Linked DNA regions of Arabidopsis thaliana. The protein of the gene in region 1 interacts with the protein of each later gene in a pairwise test. Each region holds a gene or a part of one and is shown in the gene's direction. Other genes may lie near its edges.

Region 1 (3,757 bases):
CCTAGAAAAAGTCAAATGTTATACAATGATATGAACTGAAAAATCACATTAAGTTATAATTGGTATTTTTCATTGATTGAAGCATTAATATCGTGTGTGTGCTACTAGCAGAATTAGGGGGTAAAACAGAATTTCGTTAAGAAAATGCATTAATTAAAAAATAAGAAAGATATATATATATATACATATATATATATAAGAGTAGATTATAAATGAAAAAATAATTAAGGATTAAAAATAATGATAATAATAATATGTATAAGATGGGTAACCTAACTTTACTTGGACGGTCGACAAAAAAAAAAAAAAACTTTACTTGGACGAGTATAGCCGACAAATTCATTATTGGGAAGTGCCAAAACAAATAACAAAGCTGAGACCAAACCTAATGAAACGTTACACATAAACTTTCTTAATCCATTACTCCAAAGATTTTAGGTTATTGTTGACGAATCGTATTCACCCATATCATTTTTTTAGTTTCTACCCACTTTTATTGTACTTCTCCTTTGTGTGTTCTCTTGATAATTCTAATGTTACGTCAGGTAACCAAACAAAAAGTGATTTAAAAGGTGAGCACCCATTTTTTACAACTGTTTCGACCACATATTGCAATTTGAATAAAAATCGGGTAAAATAAACCTAACTACGGACTTAAGACTTTTGATTATATCTAGCGATATAGCTTGACCGAGTCTTAATTTGTGATGTAATGACTGCTCAAAATATAATAGTTTGAATTCCGGCTTTTAACACCATGCATGGTATAAATCAGTAACATTTGTTATCATGGTATAGTGACATTTATATATATAGTTGTTCTTATTTTAGTATTTTACCCTAATATATAAATATATTCGTACACTTTAGTTTCAAAATGATTTTACTTCCTTTTTTCTCTTATATGTTTTATTGGTACATCAGTTTATCTTGAAAGAGAAAGCGCGATATGATATATTATAAAACTCTAGGAAATACTTTGTAATCTATATAGATAACTGTGAGTTAAAGCTCGAGACTAATTATGGATGTAACGAGTTATTGGTACGGATGAATCACCTTGTTTAAAAAATTTCGAAAATAAAGTATATGCCTAAGCCTAACTCTTTCCAAAAAGTACTAAATTAATTGGTGAATGACATCAAGAGAACCAAACCTAAACAAGATGGTGGGGATCACTATCCATATGTATACGAAGAAAAAAAATAACTAAAATATATAATACATAATTAAATAAATGAATAAAACATCAAGGGCCAATGTGTTTCTATGATAAGGAAAAGGAGGCTGAAAATTAGTGGGTAAAAGTAAAACTGTCTTGTGGTCCGTTATTTAAAGGCACCTCTTAATCACTTTCTAATTACTATTCATACTAATTTCGTCTCTTTTTTTTTTTTTTGTCTACAATAACGTACGCTTCATGATAAAAATATTCATGATATAAAAATCTAAAATACCGATGCCGACTGAACCCAATGATACCAGAAAAAGAATGGAGAAAGCTTTAAATATAATATTTAATTTATATTCATGATACGATAATTCCATCTTCTACCAAATATAAAATCATTGAACTTTTTCGGGAACTTTTCTCTTATTAGTGGGAAGAATAGTAGCAAGTGCCAAGTGAGATGCTCATTTGGTCAACCTTTGCAAGTAAGAAAAATAAAAGTAGAGAGAATTGTGCCATCATAATTTCCCACATTATTTTTTTTTTCTTTCAGGAAAAGAATTACCAAGAAAATAAAATCATTTCTTTAAAATAATATAAATCATTCCTTTGATTAATAACTATTAGCCATCCACCCACCCATCAATTTCTTAAAAATATAAAATAAAAAAAATACTTTTCTTCTCCTTCTTAAGAAGCCCCATTGGCTTCATCTCCTCCCATTATCTTCTAAACTCATTTCCTTTTCCTCTCGAAATCTCAAAGATAGATAAATTTTAAAGGCATATTTTTTTCATTTCGACTCAGATGGGTTTTGATGATACATGCAACACAGGTCTTGTTCTTGGATTAGGTCCCTCACCAATTCCAAATAATTACAATAGTACCATCAGACAATCCTCCGTTTACAAGCTCGAGCCGTCGTTGACTCTATGCCTCTCGGGCGATCCCTCGGTTACCGTGGTGACCGGAGCTGACCAGCTATGCCGTCAGACGTCATCTCACAGCGGAGTCTCTTCTTTCTCAAGCGGGAGGGTGGTGAAAAGAGAGAGAGACGGTGGCGAAGAGTCGCCGGAGGAGGAAGAGATGACGGAGAGAGTTATAAGTGATTACCATGAAGATGAAGAAGGTATTAGTGCTAGAAAAAAACTTAGGCTTACGAAACAACAATCTGCTCTTCTTGAGGAAAGCTTCAAGGATCATAGCACCCTTAATCCCGTAACTACATATCCTTAATCCTAATTCTTTTTTATTATACGTTACTAATCACTTTTGATAATTCTTATCCAATCAGATTCTTTGTTGTTATATTTTATTTACAGAAACAAAAGCAAGTTCTGGCTAGACAGCTGAATCTAAGGCCTAGACAAGTTGAAGTATGGTTTCAAAATAGAAGAGCCAGGTAAAAAAAATTATATTATAAATTATCAGAATATTTGATTTTTTCATGTGTCAAAATTTCTTTAATAGTCAGAAAATTTTGTAGGTGAAAATATTTTCTATTTTTTAGGTGATATGATTTTTCTTTCGGTTATATATATTTAATTATTTATTTTATTTAATGAATGAGCAGGACAAAGCTGAAGCAAACAGAAGTAGATTGTGAGTTTTTGAAGAAGTGTTGTGAAACATTAGCAGATGAGAACATAAGACTTCAGAAAGAGATTCAAGAACTCAAAACCCTAAAATTGACTCAGCCCTTTTACATGCACATGCCTGCATCGACTCTAACGAAGTGTCCTTCTTGTGAGAGAATCGGCGGCGGCGGCGGGGGTAATGGAGGAGGAGGTGGCGGCAGCGGGGCTACCGCGGTGATTGTAGATGGAAGTACGGCCAAAGGAGCTTTCTCTATCTCCTCAAAGCCTCACTTCTTCAACCCTTTTACTAACCCATCTGCAGCTTGTTGAATAGTAGTAATTCGTTTAATTTTATTACTTAAAATATTAATTTTCTTTTTTTTTTGGGTGGCATTTTAACTAGTAGGAAGAACACAAAAACTATGTTAGAAAGGGTAAGATGCGTATAGATGGTCTCTTCTACAATTCCCACTTTGTTTTTCAGTGGGATTGCTGGTTTGAGAAAAAGAATAGTTTGTAATTATTATTTTATTTGTAGAAAAAGGTAAAATAGTCTTCACTTTAATTTATACATCTTATTTTCTCACCTTCAATTTTAGTCAAGTAAATCATGTTTGTAATAAATGAAAAACTATTTAACAATATAATTATACATGGGAATTTTTCATGCATACTAATGATCAGCCGATGATTACTTTCATCATTTTGTGTTTAGATCTTAAGGGGCTGTATTGTTCATAAAAAAATAAAAAGATAAAATATATAACGTATAATATCATATTTAAATGGGACTCAATGGATGTGGTGGTGATAAGCTACAAGAATACTAAATTACAAATCTCAATCTAAAAGTTAAAACTTTATACGCTAAAATACGACATCTATGTAATATAATGGTAGGTCATGTTTTACATCACATTAAACATCTAATGCAGTTTTCGTTTGATCTTTCCTATTATATTATATGACATTTCAAGCTTGTATAAGGTTCATTGGATTATTGCTACAA
Region 2 (3,757 bases), on another chromosome or scaffold:
CGCAAATCGTAAAAAGAGACAATTTTGCTTGCAGTTTTGCGAAACCCAGAAGGATATAAGAGAAACCAAGCTGAGAAAATATCTTCTTGGTCTTCGTATCTCTCCCTATCTAACTAACTATGGTAGGTCAGTCATAGTCAAGTGACGAAAGAGGAAAGTAAACTCCTGTAATATATTAAATTGAAAATAAAAGAAAAATAACGAATGTGAAATTAGAGATGACCTAAGCGAATTCAAAGTTAGCAAATTTAGAGTCGAATAGCGAAGAAAAAGCTTACTGTGTAGCCATGGCGGAGACCAAAGTAACTGGAGAAGGAAGAAGAGAGAGAGAAATGGAAGAAGGAATAAAAGAGAGAATTTTTAGAAGAAAGAAAAAAGACAAAATAGAAAAGCGTTGACAGGCTAAAAGAGCGAGACGGACAAATGAAAGTGGTTACTGGTTACTATTAGTACCAACGCTGGATTTTTAGCTTACGTGTCTATTTCACCTCTTTGATATTTTCTTTTTTTCCGTAGCAAATTTTAATTATTTTTAAATTATATAACCATTATTAATGATAATATGGTAGCTTAAAGTATTAATTAAATAATATAATTTTTATATAATATTAAAAAGTTCTCAGTAATACTTAAATATATATATATTAGAAAGTTATTTAATGTCTAAATTTCAGATTTTTAGAAGAATTTAGCCAAATTAAATCAAATATTAAAAGATTTTGCTGTTTAAAAAGGAATTAAATCAAAAAATATTAAATGAATTAAAAACAATTATCTTCCACTCCACATAAAAAAAAAGATATGTGAGTAGAAAAGAAAAAAAATATTAAAAGATAAGATGCAAACCCTGCATTTGTAACTCCATAACTAAATCTAAAAGCAAGTGACTCAGAGCACAACTCTCGTACAATTTGCCCTACAGTTTTATTTATATTTGGTGGCAAATGTCAGCTCTGTTTTGATGTGAAAGCCATCAACATCATGTAATTGATTAGCATATTACATATAGAATATGAGATACCCACATATATATAGAAAAAATGACGGTAAAGATTAAAAAAAAAAGTATACTTGATTTGTCATAATAAGAATAAGCATGTATCTCATATGTACAAAAATAGATTTAATGTTATTTATTTTAATATTCTTGTATTTTTTGTTTTATTTGAACTTATAATAAAAAAAAAACTGTAGATATTAATAGTTATGTAAAAATCATAAAAATAGATGTAAAAATCATATTAAAAGTTATGATAAATTTAGTTTACTACATAACTCTTTTGAAAAATGTGGAAAAATTATAGTAAACTGTATGAAAAGAAGATTATCATACAGTTAAAATTAAAATCTTTTAGAACATGTGTAGTGGTGGTTTCTAACCAAAGTTTTTAATTTACTAAAGTAATAATAATAAAAAAAATATTTAATTTGAAGAGTTTTTTAAAATAGTTTTTTCAAATCTTTTAAATTAAAAACTTTCTCATATTTTCTTAGAAATTGTTTTAATTAAAAAAATATTGTTTATTATTTTATTATTATTAATGTAGGCGAGAGATTTTGGTAAAAAATCACAATGCTGATGCTTTTAAAATAATCAATTTTTCTAAGAATACATAAATCAGCAATGCTTCTCACACGCCAAACGTAAATATAGACGCGATTATGAAAAAAAATCGCGTCGAAAACAAACGTCATTATGTCATTACACGTGTTACCAATCAAAAAGCCTTTATGTTTAATTAGTAAAGGCTAGTAAGAGATTTACAACAAATGAAAAAAATAAAAATAAAAACATAATCCAAGATCCCTAAAAATTCCCAAAAAGAACCCTAGATTTTCTCCTCTCACGCTCCTTGGTTCCTCACTCGCTTTTGCTTCCCCACTCGCCTGCTTCGTGTTCTTCTTTGCTTTGCTCTTTTCACGTCAGAATTTTGCCTTCCCTCCCTTTGTCTCTCTCTGGGTGGCCGAGAAAATACAGTAAAAAGCCCTCACCAATCCAAAAGTTTGACATTTCCTGAATTTTGTAGTCTCTTCATTTGAATTCTCAGGTTTTCTCTTAAGATACATTAAAGTCTCTGTCTTTTATGCTGATACTAATGAAAGTTCAGTTCTTTCACTGAAATTTTAGAACCAGAACTTTTCTACTACTAGAAGTATGTTGTCTCTGACTCTCTTAGTTTGAGTTCTCAGGTCTCCTTCTCTTATTTGTGTGAAATTTTACTCTTTTTTGGCTTTAGAAACAGAACTTTTCTACTATTAGAAGTTATGTTGTTGAAAGTTCTTCACTTTCATTTGATTCCATTGATTTCATATTGCTTTGTGTGTTTCAAGTTTGATGTTTTTAGGTAGAAGATGTCGCGCTGGTTCTTATGAAGTTTGGTTGTGACATTTTTCAGGTGCTAAGGTGGATTATCTAGTAGAAAGATTTCAGTTTCCAATTTCATGGAAGCCCATAGTGGGGTAGTTGCTTTTGAGTGTGTTAGTGAATCCATATGTGGCTAAGGTTAGGATGGATTTGCAAGAGAATCTGGTTAGTGATGCAGGGGATGACCATATGGTTGACATTGTAGTTGAACCGCATAGTAACAGAGATATAGGAATTGTTGATGAGTTCAATATAGGTGGAGATGTTGGATTTAGTGGTGATCTGGATCTTGAGCCACGAAATGGTATAGACTTTGATACCCATGAGGCAGCGTATATCTTTTATCAGGAATATGCAAAATCTATGGGTTTTACTACGTCGATTAAAAACAGTAGACGTTCCAAGAAAACTAAAGACTTCATTGATGCTAAGTTTGCTTGTTCCAGATATGGTGTGACTCCTGAGTCTGAGAGTAGTGGTAGTAGTAGTCGAAGGTCAACTGTGAAAAAAACAGATTGCAAGGCTAGTATGCATGTGAAGAGAAGACCAGATGGGAAATGGATCATTCATGAGTTTGTAAAGGATCACAATCACGAACTTTTACCTGCCCTTGCTTATCATTTCCGGATTCAGAGGAATGTCAAGTTAGCTGAGAAGAATAATATCGACATTCTGCATGCGGTTAGTGAACGGACCAAAAAAATGTATGTTGAAATGTCGAGACAATCTGGCGGATATAAGAATATCGGGTCTCTTCTTCAGACCGATGTCAGCAGTCAGGTTGATAAGGGTAGGTATCTAGCTTTGGAAGAAGGAGATTCTCAAGTACTGCTTGAGTACTTCAAGCGTATCAAGAAAGAAAACCCTAAATTCTTTTATGCTATAGACCTGAACGAGGACCAACGTTTAAGAAATCTGTTTTGGGCTGATGCCAAGAGCAGAGATGACTATTTGAGTTTCAATGATGTTGTATCCTTTGATACTACTTATGTCAAGTTTAACGATAAGTTGCCACTAGCTTTATTTATTGGGGTGAACCATCACTCCCAACCTATGTTACTAGGCTGTGCATTGGTTGCTGATGAGTCTATGGAGACTTTTGTGTGGCTGATAAAAACATGGCTACGAGCAATGGGTGGTCGAGCTCCTAAAGTTATACTCACTGACCAAGATAAATTCTTGATGTCTGCTGTTTCAGAGCTCCTACCAAACACTCGTCATTGCTTTGCGTTATGGCATGTTTTAGAAAAGATTCCTGAATATTTCTCACATGTGATGAAACGGCACGAGAATTTCTTACTGAAATTCAACAAATGCATTTTCAGATCTTGGACAGATGATGAGTTTGATATGAGGTGGTGGAAAATGGTCAGCCAGTTTGGACTTGAGAAT
Region 3 (3,757 bases), on another chromosome or scaffold:
TCTGACCCGAAAACTGATTAAAAGAAAGGTCGAGAGAGGTGAGACGAGAAAGGTTTCCGATTGAATTCAGAATCTGACCCGAAAAACGATTATAAGAAAGGTCGAGAGAGGTGAGATGAGACAGATTTTCAATTGAAGACGTGATTTGACCTTCAAAATCATTATGTGAACGGTCTAGAGTGGTTAGGAAATGAAGGTTTCGAATACTGCTGTTGGAATGAAACCGGCCATGGAGGGAGCTGCAGCTAAGGTTGAGCTCGATCACTTCCCCGGACTTGGCATTGCACGTGACTCCCTCCCAATTACAACAGTCGCTGTTATTCCCCCATGACTCCGTCTTCCGATGAGATTCAATGCCAACCATCTTACAAGTAGGAGAAGGCTTCCCAATCTCAAACTCGTTTTTGAACTTGAGAAGTGCATCCTTTTGTTCGGGACGACACAAGTGCCTAGTAGGAGCCGCAAGCACGTCCGAAAAATGACAAATGAATAAGAAAGTAAAAGAAAGAGTAATACGAATGATACTCGTTGAGACCACCCAAGAGCCTTTCATCCTCCTTAATTTACGCTAGCTAGCTAGTCGAATTTTCTTGAATATTGATAAAAGAAAGTGGAGTTTGTGGTAGTAAATAAGATGGTTTCGTGCCCATCTCTTTATAGACATAGTAATAGATTCTACTCCACAAAGATAAATCCAACACAGCTTGACTCACATTATATAACCAGTCTTTCTACCAAGTGTTCTTCACGTTGAAACGAAAAGACTTAAAAGAGTCTTCATGTTGAATAGTCCATTTCCACACATTTTGTCTTTACTTTAATTACGTACAGGAAACTTCGAAAAGTTGTTTTCCCAACCAAATTGGACGACTTGTTACTATGTCTATAAGTCTGATATTATTAGTTCAGAGATGGATATTATCAATTTTGTGCATCAGTCTGAAAAACAAACTCGGGCTAAGGCCCAACAACATAGGAGGATAAAAATAAAACGCAGGCCCATTTGATCACATTCCACCGAACTCAGAAGAGTATAAGTATTCCCCTTTTTGAAAAGAAAGAACAGATAACGTAAGATCGGTTGTGTCTCGCCGCAATTTCTCTTCATACCGTCGTCAACATGTAACGTTCTGTAGTCCGCATGAAACCTTAGCAAATTCGCGAGCTTCGATTTCCAAATTATGGGGGTTTAGGCCGACCGATAATTGAAGACCGTGATGACGAGTTTGATTTTGTCTCATTGATAATGCGTGGACATTTGCTTTGTGTTTGATGATTACTGTTAGAGACTTAGAGTTATTGTACTTAGTAGAAGAGACTAATTGTAAATTAATTAATGCGAGCTTTGGAGTTCAAAAAACCTATAACTGAACTAGAATCTCGTTAATTATTTGTGTGTTTCTCTGATTTTATGCTTTCAGGATAAAACACTGTTTGATGTGCTTCGTATATTCTCTCTTAGAATGAAATGAATTCAGAAGAAAAGTTTGTGGGTGATGGTGATAATCATGGTTGTGATGTTGCTTTGTGTTTGTTTGATTACTTATTTTTTGGAATTTTGGATGTATATTATTCAATTTAATATACTGCCATACTAGAAAATAAATATTATAGATTATAAATCTACTTTTTTGGTTATAAATTATTCATAACATACTGTTAATTTGTTTTCCTCAAAATATCAGATTATTGTTCAAATATTGACTATAATCTTTAAAATGAGACTTTCTTAATAATTAAGTTTCATTATTTAAATATTTATTTCTTAAAATATTAGTATGGTTTTGTGATTCTTGAGTCTTAACATGTACATATTGTATTAAATATGTTTCTGTATGTGTTTATCAACTATAGTAAGGATTCCCATTGCTTACCCGTATTGAGAGCGTGTTTTTGTGTGGTGAAAATTTCAACACGTGTCGTCACTGGGGAATGTTATGATCCACAATTCGAATTAATAAGTGCCATGTCACTACTACTCTCATTAAAATATCAGAAATATCTAGACAAAGTTATAAATACCCTTTCGACCTCTTGATAATATCTGATTTCTGTAAAAAGTTTGTTGTCTTTACAAAAAGAAAAGAAAAAAGAGACGCTAGAAAGAACGCGAAAGCTTGCGAAGAAGATTTGCTTTTGATCGACTTAACACGAACAACAAACAACATCTGCGTGATAAAGAAGAGATTTTTGCCTAAATAAAGAAGAGATTCGACTCTAATCCTGGAGTTATCATTCACGATAGGTATGTTTGATTTCCAATTAATCTTTTCTGGGTTTGTCGATTTTTCGCTGAATTAGTCTCGAAGAGGGTTTTGGGTTTGATGAATTTTGGGTTTTAGATGTTTTCGTGTTCATTGATTTGTTCAAAATGTCATCCTTTTAGGTTTCGCTGTTTTTGAGAGAAATTTGGGAAATTTTCTAATTTAGCGTTTATTTTTTTTTACACGGTTTCTTTAATCTAAGACTCGGGTTAAAAAATTGGAAATTCTAATGCGATTTTTGCTTTTCTATTAATAAAGTAAAACTTGGTGAGCAAGTAAAACACCCTTGGTGCCCAAGTTGTTTCTGTTCCTCTTTATAACTATAAATTCCGTGACTCGATAATTTCTGTTTTCTGAAATTGAGAGGAAGAGACTGATTCAAAACCTTTTTTTTTCCTATCTTGTAGATTCTTAGATTGCGACTATAAAGAAGAAGATGGCTGTATATGAACAAACCGGAACCGAGCAGCCGAAGAAAAGGAAATCTAGGGCTCGAGCAGGTGGTTTAACGGTGGCTGATAGGCTAAAGAAGTGGAAAGAGTACAACGAGATTGTTGAAGCTTCGGCTGTTAAAGAAGGAGAGAAACCGAAACGCAAAGTTCCTGCGAAAGGGTCGAAGAAAGGTTGTATGAAGGGTAAAGGAGGACCAGATAATTCTCACTGTAGTTTTAGAGGAGTTAGACAAAGGATTTGGGGTAAATGGGTTGCAGAGATTCGAGAACCGAAAATAGGAACTAGACTTTGGCTTGGTACTTTTCCTACCGCGGAAAAAGCTGCTTCCGCTTATGATGAAGCGGCTACCGCTATGTACGGTTCATTGGCTCGTCTTAACTTCCCTCAGTCTGTTGGGTCTGAGTTTACTAGTACGTCTAGTCAATCTGAGGTGTGTACGGTTGAAAATAAGGCGGTTGTTTGTGGTGATGTTTGTGTGAAGCATGAAGATACTGATTGTGAATCTAATCCATTTAGTCAGATTTTAGATGTTAGAGAAGAGTCTTGTGGAACCAGGCCGGACAGTTGCACGGTTGGACATCAAGATATGAATTCTTCGCTGAATTACGATTTGCTGTTAGAGTTTGAGCAGCAGTATTGGGGCCAAGTTTTGCAGGAGAAAGAGAAACCGAAGCAGGAAGAAGAGGAGATACAGCAACAGCAACAGGAACAGCAACAGCAACAGCTGCAACCGGATTTGCTTACTGTTGCAGATTACGGTTGGCCTTGGTCTAATGATATTGTAAATGATCAGACTTCTTGGGATCCTAATGAGTGCTTTGATATTAATGAACTCCTTGGAGATTTGAATGAACCTGGTCCCCATCAGAGCCAAGACCAAAACCACGTAAATTCTGGTAGTTATGATTTGCATCCGCTTCATCTCGAGCCACACGATGGTCACGAGTTCAATGGTTTGAGTTCTCTGGATATTTGAGAGTTCTGAGGCAATGGTCCTACAAGACTACAACATAATCTTTGGATTGATCATAGGAGAAACA

What was found.
Region 2: the proteins of HAT9 (region 1) and FAR1 interact in a two-hybrid assay, tested with the Arabidopsis thaliana proteins (one large-scale study listed by BioGRID).
Region 3: the proteins of HAT9 (region 1) and DREB2B interact in a two-hybrid assay, tested with the Arabidopsis thaliana proteins (one large-scale study listed by BioGRID).

The regions. Positions count from the first base shown.
Region 1 is NC_003071.7:9,704,270-9,708,026, reverse strand, and holds HAT9 (Homeobox-leucine zipper protein family), read left to right. Parts: upstream 1-1,809; 5' UTR 1,810-1,978; coding exon 1,979-2,389; intron 2,390-2,493; coding exon 2,494-2,573; intron 2,574-2,744; coding exon 2,745-3,078; 3' UTR 3,079-3,395; downstream 3,396-3,757. UniProt on the Arabidopsis thaliana protein: Probable transcription factor.
Region 2 is NC_003075.7:8,612,297-8,616,053, forward strand, and holds the start of FAR1 (FRS (FAR1 Related Sequences) transcription factor family), read left to right. Parts: upstream 1-1,763; 5' UTR 1,764-1,977; exon of another isoform or gene 1,978-2,396; 5' UTR 2,397-2,509; coding exon 2,510-3,757. UniProt on the Arabidopsis thaliana protein: Transcription activator that recognizes and binds to the DNA consensus sequence 5'-CACGCGC-3'. Activates the expression of FHY1 and FHL involved in light responses. Positive regulator of chlorophyll biosynthesis via the activation of HEMB1 gene expression.
Region 3 is NC_003074.8:3,453,309-3,457,065, forward strand, and holds the start of DREB2B (DRE/CRT-binding protein 2B), read left to right. Parts: upstream 1-2,046; 5' UTR 2,047-2,245; intron 2,246-2,671; 5' UTR 2,672-2,700; coding exon 2,701-3,693; 3' UTR 3,694-3,757. Other genes in the region: RLP34 (receptor like protein 34), read right to left, coding at 1-553. UniProt on the Arabidopsis thaliana protein: Transcriptional activator that binds specifically to the DNA sequence 5'-[AG]CCGAC-3'. Binding to the C-repeat/DRE element mediates high salinity- and dehydration-inducible transcription.